2 linked regions of the Caenorhabditis elegans genome follow. The protein of the gene in region 2 interacts with the protein of the main gene of each other region in a pairwise test. Each region holds a gene or a part of one and is shown on either strand. Other genes may lie near its edges.

What was found. Proteins that work in one complex are often made in the same cells at the same time.
Region 1: the proteins of hlh-33 (region 2) and lir-1 interact in a two-hybrid assay, tested with the Caenorhabditis elegans proteins (one large-scale study listed by BioGRID).

The regions. Positions count from the first base shown.
Region 1 is NC_003280.10:7,669,480-7,675,769, forward strand, and holds the start of lir-1 (LIn-26 Related), read left to right. Parts: upstream 1-2,525; 5' UTR 2,526-2,563; coding exon 2,564-2,629; intron 2,630-5,384; exon of another isoform or gene 5,385-5,520; intron 5,521-6,290. Other genes in the region: lir-2 (C2H2-type domain-containing protein), read left to right, coding at 367-436, 1,000-1,180, 1,232-1,651, 2,231-2,315.
Region 2 is NC_003281.10:1,852,609-1,860,246, forward strand, and holds hlh-33 (BHLH domain-containing protein), read left to right. Parts: upstream 1-2,783; 5' UTR 2,784-2,784; coding exon 2,785-3,034; intron 3,035-3,442; coding exon 3,443-3,573; intron 3,574-4,818; coding exon 4,819-4,971; intron 4,972-5,643; coding exon 5,644-5,832; intron 5,833-5,961; coding exon 5,962-6,164; intron 6,165-6,523; coding exon 6,524-6,659; intron 6,660-6,799; coding exon 6,800-6,961; 3' UTR 6,962-6,995; downstream 6,996-7,638. Other genes in the region: ddp-1 (Mitochondrial import inner membrane translocase subunit Tim8), read left to right, coding at 7,285-7,458, 7,549-7,626.

The DNA.
Region 1 (6,290 bases), on a different chromosome or scaffold from region 2:
GTTTTCTGTTTTTTCATTCATTTTCGTCTTCATTCAGTGACATCTTCTTTGAAGAATAAAAATTTAGTTGGTAGCACCCTTCAATTCACGCTCACAATCGCCGAAACATTGCGTGAAATTAGAGTTTCCGACTGTGAGCGCAGGCAGAGAAATAGTGAGCGAAGAGACATTGGAGAAGTAACAGGGTGAAGAGCGGTGCGCGAGCGTGTGCGCGTTGCGTGTGTGTGTTGAGTGTAGCTTTTTGTGAGCTTTTCGCTTGAAATTATTTGATTCTAACTATTATAAGCTAAATCAGGTAGCAAATGAAGGCAGAATAAGTTTCATGTTAGTTCAAAACGAAATTTTAAAAAAATTTATAATTTTCAGATTGATCATGGATTCTCTCGATTTCAGCACATCGGAAGTTCGGATATGGTGGCATCGTCTATCAGAACTGGTCAGTGTAAAAAACTTCCCAAATTGTCTTTAAAAAGCGAATTCGTCACAATCAAAAAAGTTTCCGTTTTTTTTTGTTGATTCTCAGTATTTTTCAGATAAAACTGAAAATAAAACATCGCAAAATCGAGAAAAATGAAAGAAATGTCCGAAAAAAAGTCGAGAAAACTATTGTTTTATCCAAAATATGTTGATTTCGATGAGAAAAATAAGAAACTTCTTTTAAAAAATAAAAAAAATCGGAAATTATGAACAATTCTTTATTTTTTAAAAGAAAAATTTAGGTTTTTTTAACAACGAAAATTGAAAAATCGATAAATCAATATATTCTTTTTCGGATTTTTTTCGAATTTCGGAAAATCGATTAAAAAACGAAACAAAAACGAGAAAATTAGATTCACTAAAAAAAGAAGAAATTTCGTTTAAAAAATTTAAAAAATGACCGAAAAACGGAAATTGAGAGATGAAACTAACAATTTTCCTATTTCTCATCAGAAAATTATCACATTAATTTAATTGCAGCTGTTATTTAAATTAAATAAAACATTTTAACCGTTTTTTCAGGTATACCTCGAGCGCCTAGACTCGATACGGTAGAATATTCCAACTATGAACATGAACCTGAAACAGATGAGATTTCTCGAGATGGAACACCATTTTGGTCAACACCAATTCCACCAACTAACAAAGAATTGCCGGTTTCCCCTGTATCACAATTGGACATGACGAATTCAATCAAGAGCAGGTAGAATTAATAAATTAGAATTTTCATTTCATAATTTTTTTTCAATTTCAGAGTGGAACGTGTTGATGTAGAAGTTAAACTGGAACCTTGCAATGACGAAGATGATGAATTTAGTGAAGAAGTTGATGAACAAACTGCTGAATTGGAAGAACAACTAGCAACTGAAGCTATACGGACTGGTTTGGCACTTTTTGGAAAAGTTTCCCCATCTCCAAAACGAATGAAATCATGTGGAAGTTCTGGAAGTGTTTGTGGAGATGTAGTCACAGCGATTTGTGAGATTTGTGGAATTGGAATTCGCCTGAATTCTGGTGGTTCTAAATGGAATTTCTTTGAACACGTAATGATGAAACACTCCACTCATAAACCATTCAAATGTTCCCAATGTCCATATCAAGCTGTACGAAAAGTTCGTGTAAAGCAGCACGGACAATCACAACACAATTCGGAACACGAACCTGTGAATATGATGTGAGTTTTTATTTTGAATTTAAAAAATTTTAAAAAAATTATTTTTTAAAGATTTTAAAAATTGTGCGACAGCTCTTTTTTAGTTGAATCACTAATTCACTGAGATTATTTTTTTTTATCTAATCTCACTCGAAAAGCATGAAAGCCGGTTTCTGTTTTAATTGTATAATTATTTTAAAATGTACGCAATTTGTTTTATAAATTACGAAAATTGCTACTAATGTTGCAGCTGCACCGCAAGATTTTTTTTTTCCATTCTATTTAAAATGGTAATTTTATCCAAATGTGAGGATAAGCCAAAAATTTATTTTTGGCATAAACCCGCAAAAATAGATTTGAAATTTTGAATAAAATGTAAATTTTAGAAATTTTTTTTTCTAGATCATATTTTAGACTAAAAATGTTTCAAAAGAGCATATTTAATTTTTTTTTTAAATTCAATTCTGTCGCAAGATCGCTCCATTAAAAAAAATTAAAAATGTTTGAATAAAATCCAATTCAGACGATGTCCATTTGAAAACTGAATTTAATTCGTTTCATTCCAAAATAAAAAAATCTTACAAAGTCAATTTTTTTCAGAACACCAGAAGTACGAAAAGAATGGCTGGATACAATGGCAAAGTGTTTCCCGAATCATCAATATGGAAAAGAAGCAAAAATTTAATAGTTTCTTTAAATTTTTTTCGTTGATATTTATAATATTTTCTTTTAATTTTAAGTTTTACAACGCAAATTTTGTTCTTACTCGATTTTCAATAAAATCGTCGGTCTTTTTATTATTTGTGGTAATTTCTTTTTTCTTATTTAAATAGTTATTTCTATTTCTGAATATCTTTATCGTGCTCTTGTAATTCCTAATAATATAAATAATATACATAGGTGTCGTCTTCGTACGATTCGAACCCGGCCGGGATGCCGAAATTTGTGGTCATCGAACTGAACGATGATGCAGCAACGATCGATCTTCTCAGTTATTGCGTGAGTTTTTTTATTTATAAAAATTATCTAAAATATTGATTTACTCATTTTCTCTGGTTTGAAACTTTGCATAGAACTTCCAATTGTACCTCTGATTCCTTTTTCGGTCCATATTAACCATTGGTATCCCCTAATTATTCGAATCGACTTCCTAAACAAGGGTGCCGCTGAAAAAATTGTCGGTTTTTTTTGTTGAGAAAATCCAAAAAAATTCACTTTTGAAAAAAAAACGAAAAATTCCGTTTTTTTTTTAAAGAAAAAATCGAAAAAAAATTTGAAAACACTTTTCTTATACGGAATTCAAAATTTAAGTTGATTAAAGTTTTTTTTCAAACAAGTAACCGAGATTTTATTATTTTTTTTGGACTTTACAATTTTTTAAGTGTAATTGAAAATCAATAAAAACTTTTTTTCTGAAAATCGAAAACAAATTTTTTCCGTTTTTTCGCTCTTCCAAAATCCGAAAAAAAGTGCGGTCTGATGCTAACCAAGGATTTCTTTTAAAAAATGTCAATTTTTCTGTTTGAGAAATAATCGAAAATCTAACTTTTTTTTGAGCAATTTTTGTTAAATTTTGATAAATTTCGAAAAATAAATTTTTTAGTTTTTTTGTCTAAAAATGCCAATTTTTTTGAGAGATAATCGAAAAACGAACTTTTTTGGTTTTCCGAAAAAAAAATCAAAATTTAATTTTGTTGAATATAAAACACAAAAGAAAATATAATTTCCTTCTAAAAAAAGCCCAGGCGCTGAAATTTCGAGCAATTTTTGAGAAATTTCGAAAAATCAAAAAACCAAAATTTGTTGAATTTCCAACAAAAAAAACCGAAAAAGCGACACCCTTGATCCTAAAATGTAGGGATTCAACATAACCTATAACTTCTATTCTCTTAGAAATCAGATTTTTGAAGTATAGACTAGCTTGAACATCACTGCAAACATTTTTTTTATATTTCTCCTAAAACCTCTACTCTATCAATGATCTCTCAATTCCAAGCTCTTTCTTTCGCACGATGCTCATTTCGAATTCGACATATATAGCTCCTTTTTTCGGTGCTTCTCCTGTACATAAGAGATCGATGAAATCAATCGTCGTGGCGCTCTCATAAATGTGCAGAAAGGAAGCAAGAGCTGCAGCCAACTGCTGCATCGGCGTCCGTATTTTTTGTTCGCTCTGTTCCCTTTTCCATTTATGCGAGCAACACGGTGATGCTACTTTCATCGACGAGAGATAGTATATGTTGAACGGAGGATTTGAATGTTTCTGTTCACGGAGCAACCGTCCGTTTTCTTTCTCTCAGTATCATCCTCTACCCTTTTTCGAAATATTTCTATATTTGATACTGGAAATTGGTTAATTTTCGCATTTGACAGGTTTGCTCATTTATCGAGATTTTTTAAATCTAAATTCTAAAATCATTAGCGACAATAACTAAAAATATAAATTAATCAATAATTTTCCTGAAACATTAAAATTCCATTTAGTTCTGGTATTTCTGTCCGAACTAATCTTGTAATTGAATAATCTATATTTCATCACAATGTCTTTCTTTTTCTTCTATTCTACGAATACATTTTTGCCTGTACGAGCTCATAATAGAACGCGTTGGCGCCTGCCTCACTTTCAGCATCGTCCGAAGTGTACATACCTCCTGTTCTCCATCATCGTCTTCTCCCATCCCTTTCTCTTTCTCCCATACCGGGTATTGAGCGCCTGTATGCACAATGCACACAACTGACAAAACTGTACTCGTCGCGTCGTTGTCGCCGTTGTCGTGTGCCCCGGCGAGCGCAACCAACAACAAAACTGTGTGAGCGCTGTTAACACCATTTCTTCTATCACCTTCTAAGCATCCCGGTTTGAAAGCGGGTGGTAAGGTGTCCGATATTATAAAACCGCAGCACAATGCTTAGAATGTGTGTGTGTGTGTGTGTGTGTGTGTGTGTGTGTGTGTGTGTGTGGTGTATGCAAATATTGCCGGTGGAGCCGAAGCCATAAAAATCGAGCACATCGTCAGTCTGACGGTATCATTGTGCATCTTTTTTGATACGACTTTTCACTTTTCCGTCACTACACTTAACCTTAAGTCTGCAGACTTCTCTTTTTTCTATAGTATAGACTCTTTATCCCCTTATTACAATAATCGTCTTTACGAGTCCTCATTGCTTCCACTCATTGACTATCCGTACTTATAAAATGAAACTCCTTCTTATTTCTTAATTCTTTGTTCACTTCTACAAGACGCTCTTGACTCCAATTCATTCTCACGCGATTTCGCCCAGTGAGTGTCCGAAATAAGGTCAAATTGTGCATTATGTGAAGTGAGAGTGAAAGGGTCTTCTAAAGTTTTGACCTGGGATACGTCATTCTGAGATTTTATGGTAGGAAGTATTGCTCAAAATCTAGAAGAATTTTTGAATGGTTTTCAAAAAATTATCGACTAATTAAGCAGTTAAAGTACTCGAGTAGAATTTTTTTCGTTGTTTTGAGTTTTTTTTGAAAAGTTAAAAAATGTGCTATCGTTTTCTTTTTAACTCAAAGTAACGTATTACTAAATGTTCCGAAGATCCTGTTAGAGTATCCGTGTCGTCTTTTCTCTCTGAGTTTATGGTATTATGGGAACATTCGCGCACAGTGCGCATTAGTCGTCTCCGTGATCTTTCTCACTCCTCCGTAGCGCATATTATTCCAATCCATGACTTTCTCCTTCTTCATGTCCAAGGAGCGAATGCATATCTCCGTAAAGTCACCCGTCGAGGCCGCAAAGACGTACACCCGCACTTTCGGCTCGCGATGACCTAAATTCTGTGAACGGTTGGACGACGGAAGAAGTTGATGAAATGGTGCGACCTCCTCTCCGCTCTATAAATCGACCCCGATTGGAGCCAATTCAGATGAAATCGTTTTGTGCGCACACACGCTTGTCTAAATCGGATTCGTTCTACCAACGTGATTCACTCGTCGTTCAACCATTATTGCACACAATAGAATCGACAAATCGACATAGGCGCTGTAGGCGACGACGACGACGAAAACGAAGTGATGAGCGCATGCGAGACGAGGGCACCACTCAAACTGGTTTTCGAATCGCTGAGTTACAACCACAGAGGCGGTCGGGCATCACATAGCGAGGCCATCACACATTTTCATTGTGTCAGAGCCACCAATGTCAGAGGAATCGTTAAACACCGTGCATCAAACAAAAAATCAGTGGAAAGGAACGATTGGAGAGTACTGAAGAGAAGAATGGGTTGCTGTAGGAGTGAGCATACGATCAAAAATTCAAAATGTGTAGAATAGGTGTTTTGGAACTTTTTTAAATTCCAAGTGAGCTGTTTGAAGATTTAGCATTGTTTTGGAAGACATTTTTTCAAAATTATCAAATACTAAGGCAAAACAATTTCTTAAAAATTGTCTGAAAATGTGAAATTGTATCTAAAAGTTGTCATTGGCAAAATTTAAAAAATCGTTTTTTTTTGCTGTAAGGTTTAATTTGGAAAAGCTTTCAGATAATTTCAATGAAACTGGTACTCTAGTATTTATGGTAAAAATTGTAGCGATTTTTAGAAAAAAAACCTTGATCAAAGCTGTATTTTTGGCATTTTCCAAGTTAAGTAGCAAGTTGACCACTACCTTCTTTTAACAACATCTAATCACTTC
Region 2 (7,638 bases):
ATTGTATTAAAAAATGCCAAAAAAACAATATTTTATTGATTTTTTTTTTCAACGATTTTTCAAAGTTTTTCCCGAAAAAAAAAACGAATGTATTAATAATTGTACAAAAATGTTTCCATTCCCCCCCCCCCCCCTGAGCCATTTTTATCAACGTTTTACCCAATTTTTCCACAATTTTCCACTTTTTCCTGAAAATTATCGATTTTTGTGTCATTTTTGTGATCTCTCGCGATTTCTATACAATACATATCTCGACCCCACGACTTTTTTTGTAATAAATTATTATTAATTCGCAAAAATTTGAATTTCCTTGGGTCTCACCACGATTATGGAGAATTTTAAGTTGCAAATTCGAATTCTCCGTAACTTTTTACCTCTAAATCGTGGTTTTCTGGGTTTCTAGCTAAAATTTTGAGTTCTTTGGGGTACGGTAGCACCAAAAATACGCAAACACCGAATTTCTTACGACAAAATGCACAGTTTCTTTACATTCCGAGTTAAAGCCCTAGAAAATGGGACCCCGAGCTAAAAAATGACGGGAAATTCAAATTTGACAGCAATATTTTCAAAAAAATCACAGAAAAATCAATATTTTTAAGAAATTGATTTTTTCCGGGATTTTTATTGATTTTTGAAGATTTTCATTGTTAAATTCGGATTCTCCGTCACTTTTTACCACTGAATACTTTTTTTCCGGGGTTCTGAGCTAAAATTTAAATTTTTCGGGGTACTGTAGGCCCGAAAATACGCAAGCACCAAATTTCTTACGACAAAATGCACAGTTACTCTAAATTTTAAGGTAAAACTCTAGAAAATAGGTTCCCCGGGTGAAAAATGGCGGGAAATTCAAATTTGACAATGAAATTTTCGAAAAATTACGAGAAAAATCGATATTTCGAAGAAATTCAATTTTTTCGGGGGCCCGATTTTTGGAGCCTGAACATTGAAATTTGGAAAGTTGTGCATTACCCCGAGAAAATCAAATTTTGAGCTAGAAGATCGGGAAAAATGGTTTAAGAGGTAAAAAATGCAGGAAAATTCGAATTTCTTGGAAATTTTACTTGAAATTTGATAATTGTGGGCGAAATAGAACGTTTTGAAGCTTTTTGTGTAGTTTTTTTTCGGTTTTCATTCAAAACTGTAAATTTTCGATCAATAATATGAATTCTACGTCTCTTTTCACTCCGGAAACCCAATTTCCAAAGCTCAGCTACCAAATCCTGAGAAGCTGTGCATTTTGTCGTAGGAGCTGCGGCGGTGTTTGCGTACTTTTGGCGCTACCGTACTCAGAGAAAATCAAAAGTTGAGCTAGAGACTCGGCAAAAAATGTGAATAGTGGGAAATTATGCGAGGATTTCGTTTTTGAAGTTGGTTTTCCAAAAAAAAAATTGATTTTTCGGAAAAAAATTTTCCAAAAAAAAAATTTTTTTTTTACAAAATATTGTTTTCCCCGCCGGGGTAACCAGAAATGAAAGCCGTAGAGGGAGAAAAATGAAGAAAGTGACCTTGAAAGTCCCTTTCTGCCATACAAAAAACGCTCCCCTAACCAGCTGCCCCCACACACACAACTTATTCCGAGGCACACGAGAGAGTACACACAATCAAAGAGACGCAGAAATGCGGCAATTTCGAGTGTTGGGGGCGATGAAGACGGCGGAGACCATTCATTTTTGCCATCTGATCACTTTTCCGATTTTTTCTAAATTTTTTTTTTTGACAAAAGTTTTATACAACTCGGTAAATAATTTTTGTACGTAGGCTTACTTTGAGGTCTTATAACTTTGGACTCAAATGAACTGTCAAATTTTAAAGTAAATTGCCTGAAAGATAAAGTTTTAACGCAAATTTTGGTAAAATTTCACCAAAATTCATTTGGTAGTTTTTGAGAAATTTAGGTTTTAATTGAGAAAATAAAAATGTTGAAAATTTTTTTTTTTAATTTTTAAATTTTTTTTTTTTGCATTTTCCAAAAGTTTAAATCAAAAATTTGATATTTTCTGAAAGAAAAATAAAAATATATTTAACGCTAATTCTGACAAAATGTCAAGCAATTTGCACAATTATTCTTTGAGATACTACAGTTTTACCGAAGAAATTTCATTTTTCAGTAAATTTTTCAAAAATTTAAAATTTAAATGGGTTTTCTGAAACTTTAGGGCAATAACACATTTTTTACAATAAAATTTTTTTAAAAAAACAATGAAAAGTACATATTTGTCAAGTTAGAAAATTTGAATTTTCACCAAAATTTTTTTTTAAACTTTTTTGAAATTTTTTTTTAATCCTTGAAAAAAATTTAAAAAGTTCAAAAAAATGTCTTTTCATCAGAAAATTTAATTTTTATTACAATTTGGTTATGTATATACTTTTATTAATATAAATTTATTGATATCCTCAACAGATATATGCTTTCAAAGGTTGAACTGGACATGGTGCATCGATCAAAAACTTGGACAGCTTATATCTCAGTTGTCATTGTTTTTATCAAAAAATCGATAACTAATAAAATGTTCATTATGAACTTCTCTATAACTTTGTAGTTGAGCACTTTTCCATATCTCCAAAATTAACAGAGATACTAGCCGTCAAAGTTAGAGTTAGACATGTTGCATCGACCTTTCCTAACTTTGACAGCCCATAACTCGGTTAATATTGAGCCAAAGGTTGTAAACTGACAAAATGTTCATCATGTTTTTCTCTATAACTTTGTTGTTTAACATTTCTCCCTACCTTTAATATTAACCGAGATATAAGCTTTTAAAATTTAATAGTACATTTTTCAGAATGTCCGACTCCCCGCAGAGCTGCAAAAAGCCGCGAACTCGGAAAGAAACTATTCAAAAGCGAGAAACACGAAGTAAGCATGAAAAACGACGAAGGGAAGAGATGAATGAAGTGATTTGTGAAATGTCGACACTTTTGCCCGAAGATATTCGGGCTCATAAGCTGCGAAGAGTGGATCAGAAGCCTCGTCAGCTGGACAAATGCTTTATCATTGGGAGTACTGTTGATATTATTCGGAATAGTGATTATAGTGAGTCTACAGATTCAAATTAGTAATAATATTCTAATTTGGAATTTTTTTTTAATTTTGAAAAAATTTGGAAAAAAATTTGAAAAAAAATTTCGAAAATTTTTTCTTTTTTTTTTGCAAATTTTTTTCCTAAATTTTCGATTTTCAAAGCTTTTTTCTTTGTTTTTTACTCTAAAACTCGGTAAAACAACTCTATTTCCTCCCGAGAAAAATATAAATTCAACCTATTACAGTAACCCTGATCCGTTTCGTGGCGGGACCCAAAATTTCAAATTACCTTCAAACCAAGGCATGTTGGGTGTCATTTTAAAGCAATCATTGAGCTAAACTCAAATTTGAAAGCCATTAAGCTGAAAATCTCGAAATTTTCGGAATTTTCAGTCAATTTCAATTTCCTCCATTTTCCAGAACCACCGCTGCTCTCCGACCCGCTCGTCCAGGATATTTTCAGCCTGACCAACTGTTTTATGGTTTTTCTGAACAATTTTATTGTCGTGGATATTAAGGGAGACCATCAGGCAGTTTTTGATATTGAAAAAGTTTGTTTTATTGATTTTTTTTCGATTTAAAAAAAAATTCAAAAAGCCATTAAATGGGCAGAGTTACAGGCCTCTGAAAATAATTGTTAGGCTTAGGTGTAGGCTTAGGCGTAGGCTTAGGCTTAGGCTTCAAACATTTTTTTGGGATTAGGCTTAGGCTCAGGCTTAGGCTTAGGCTTAGGCTTAAGCGTAGGCTTAGGCTTAGGTTTAGGATTAGGCCTAGGCTTAGGCTTGGGCTTAGGCATAGGCTTATTAGAAAAAATGGGAAAAAAAATTCTCAAAACATTTTTTTTGGAATTTAATTTTGTAAAATTTTCCAAATTTTGTCCCAGACGGGCGTGACAATCAAATGCACACTTTTTTAGTTGACAACTTTTTGCTAACCCTTAAATGGTAGCAACCTTTAAGCTTCAGTAACTCCGCCCATTTATTGGCTATCAAAAAATTTTCAACCGACAAAAGCTTCACCATGAAAAAAAATCTGCAAATTTTTTCAGTTGACAATTTTTTTCTAGCTTTTCTAGATTTGAAGATATTTGAGTTTATTTTTTTGAAAAAAAAAAATCCCAAAATTTTTTTTGTGGGATTTCATCTTTTTATAATTTTTAATTTTCCAAATTTTTTCCCATACAGGCGTCCCCAATTAAATGTTCCTTGTAAACAAAATGTCGTCATATTTTCGGGGAAATATTATCAAGGTCACTTTTTCCCAAAAAAAATTCGATTTTTTCGGACTGTGTGTCAGCTGACTTGTTTCAAGGTGAACTGGTGGTGGACCGGGGGTGGGGGGGGGGGGATTTGGTGAATCATTGGGATTTTTTCGGTTGGAAAATGTTTTATAACATTTTAGATAGTATAAAAATTTAGAAAGTTTTCGAAAAAAGTTTCAAAAAAAATTTTTTTTTTTGGACTTTTTCTGAAAAATTTTTTTTTTTTTGTTAAACTAAATTTTTTTAAAGTTAGAAATTCTAGAAATAAGTTGTAAACTAACAATTTTTGTCAAAATTTTTGCAAAAGATTTGAATTTTTCGCTAGTTGATAACTTTTTAGTAACCATTAAATGGGCGTAGCTGCTGCCTTCCGTAACTCCGCCCATTTCATGGTTATCAAAAAGTTTTCAACTAACAAAATGTTCATTTTGAAATTCTACACACTTTTTTAGTTAACAACTTTTTAATAGCTGTTTTAGTTTTTGAGATATTTAAAAAAGAAAAAAAAATTTTTTAATGAAATTTTTTTTTTCAGAAACGTATGATTGGAAAAGATATCCGATGTTTTCTGGACTACGATTCAACGTCCAAACTGTCATTTCTCACTTCCAAAGAAATGCTCAATGAGCTCCAACTCAAAAGCTTCATGGCGAAGTCAATGACGTGCAGAATAAAGGAATCGGCGGAGGTTTGGGATTAAAATGTTTTTTTCAATTCGAACAATTCGAAAAATTTAGCTTTAAAACTAATTTATTTGAATTTGGCGTGTAAATAGCTTTTGAATGACACCCATCATGCCTAGGTTCCCGCAATTTTGGGGGAATTTTCCGGGTCCCGCCACGAAAACTGGCAGGGTTACTGTAGTTTTGAATGAAACTAACTTTTTCAATTTTTTTCAAAAAAGTGTGATCACTGAGCTAACTTTGAAGAAAAAAATTAAGAAAAAATAGTGAAAACTAAGAAAGTTACAGATTTTCGAAAATTTGTGAAAAAAAATTTTTTTAAACAAAATTTTTTACCAAAAAAAACTTATTTTGTCAATTTTTTTTTAGCTGAGAATCACAATTTTACTCTCAGCAACCCAGAAAACCTGCAAAACCTGGTAAAACCAGTAAAAACAACCAAACTACAGTAACCCAGAAAGTTTTCGCGGCGGGACCCGAAATTTTAATCATTCACGGAATATAGGCATGATGGGCCTTATTTTGAAGCTCTGGACGTGCTTAATTTGAAAATGTACGAGTTTTGGCTCAAAATCGTGATTTTAACCAAAAAAATTAGTTGTTAAAAAATTGAAAAAATTTTTTTTTCCAAAATTTCAAAAATTCCTAGAAATTTTTAAAAATCAAAATTTTTCCAGAAACCCACGGAAACAGTTTTAGTCTGTGTGCCTGATGAGCTTCCAGCTCTCCCGGTTACTGTACCCAAGGCTCCGCCCATTTTAGCTTCGCCCCTTCAGAAGACACCGCCCCCGCCGTCGAGTTTGGAGGTGAAAAGCCCGATTTTGGCGGCACTTTTGAGGCGAAAAGAGGATAATTGTGTGAAAGTGGTAAGTTATTAATAAGAATTAATAGTTTGGCGGGAAATTTCAAACTTTTTGAGAAAAAAAAAATTGAAATTTTTTTTTTCGGAACTTTTTTTTCTAAAAAATTATTTAACACTATTTGTTGAATTCCAGAGCTCCCCAAGCTCCTTCCTCTCGCCGGGCTCCTCCACCTCGTCTACAGTACCCAATGTGAAACCTACAGTAACCCGCCGACCTACAGTACCCACAAAACGGAAGAGACTACGATCGATGAATGTTATAGTGGAAAGTTATCCGTTGGATGATGAGAAGTCGGATGGAAATTCACAAAAATCGGCGAAAATTGGGAAAAAGAGGTTTTTTCTAACAAAAAAAAACGTTAAAACCTACAGTAATCTACTCCAAAATCCATGCGAGACCCTTAAAACTGAAAATTTCAAATTTAGCTCAACAAGACCTTTCAAATGACCCCCATCATGCCCGGGTTCAAATTTTCACAAATTTATTCAAAAGTTGGGTCCCGTCACGTGGGGTACTGTAGCACTGGTTTCAGCTGTGTCAGTGACATAATTTCGGAGTTTTTCCGAAGCTCTAAGCGTGCGAAAGTTAAAAATGTTAATAAAATTCTTAACATGTAAGATTTTATTGATTTTTTCAAAAAAAAAAAATTTTCTAATTTTTCTGAAAAAACTTGCAAAACTATGTAAATTTTCAGCCAAACTAGCACTATTCCAACTCCGAGAAGCACTTTGAGCCCAACTACAGTAATCCATCCGTCCACGTCACTAATTCAACCGATTCCGACACTTGGAATGAACCCATTTGACATGTTATCACCTGGTTATCAAGATGTATGTGAAAATTATCGATTTTTAATGGTAAAATCAATAAATCATCGCTAAAAACTAGTTTTTATCAATAGAGCGCACTTGCAACACGGTTTTAATTCAAATTATCGACTTTTCAACTACAGCTACTATCAATTTTCCAGATTTGGCTCCGACTACAAAGTGAGCGACTTCTGCTGGAAAAACGAATTTCAGCGAAAGAAGGGGAGCTGAAAAACCTGATGCAATTCGTTCAAAACCCCCCGTTTTTGAATTTCCCCCAATATATGCTCCCGCAAGGGCCACTTGGTGCTCAAAATCAATAGTTATGGGTTTAAATGAATAAAATAAATATTTATTTACAAAATTTGATTATTATCGACGGGAATTTGTTTAAAATACTGCAAAATATACTGGGAAATTTCCGGAAAAATCATTTCGAAGTTAATTATCATTTGAAAAACCGCCGAAAACTGTGAATGCGCAAGGAGAGGTTGCTGGCGCATTTCTCTTGTTGCTTGCGCACTCTGCGATGAAATTAATTTATTTTATTTTTTCATCATTTTCGTTGGGTTTTCATCATTTTTCAGCGATTTTTTTGCAATTTTTTTCAAAATTCCCATCAAATCTATAGTTTTTCTCACAGGAAATGGACTCGGCCGACCCTCAACTCAATCGATTCCTCCAGCAACTGCAGGCGGAGACGCAGCGTCAAAAATTCACCGAACAAGTGCACACGCTCACCGGTCGCTGCTGGGATGTGTGCTTCGCCGACTACCGTCCGCCAAGCAAGATGGACGGCAAGACTCAGACCTGTATTCAGGTAAAAATTTGGGAAAATTTGGCAATTTTCTGCAATTTTATGGGAAAATTGAAGAAAAAATTTAAAAAATCCAATTTTTTTCCGTTTCAGAACTGCGTAAACCGCATGATCGACGCCAGCAACTTCATGGTCGAGCACTTGTCCAAGATGAACGGAGGACACGTCTAAAAATCGATGAAA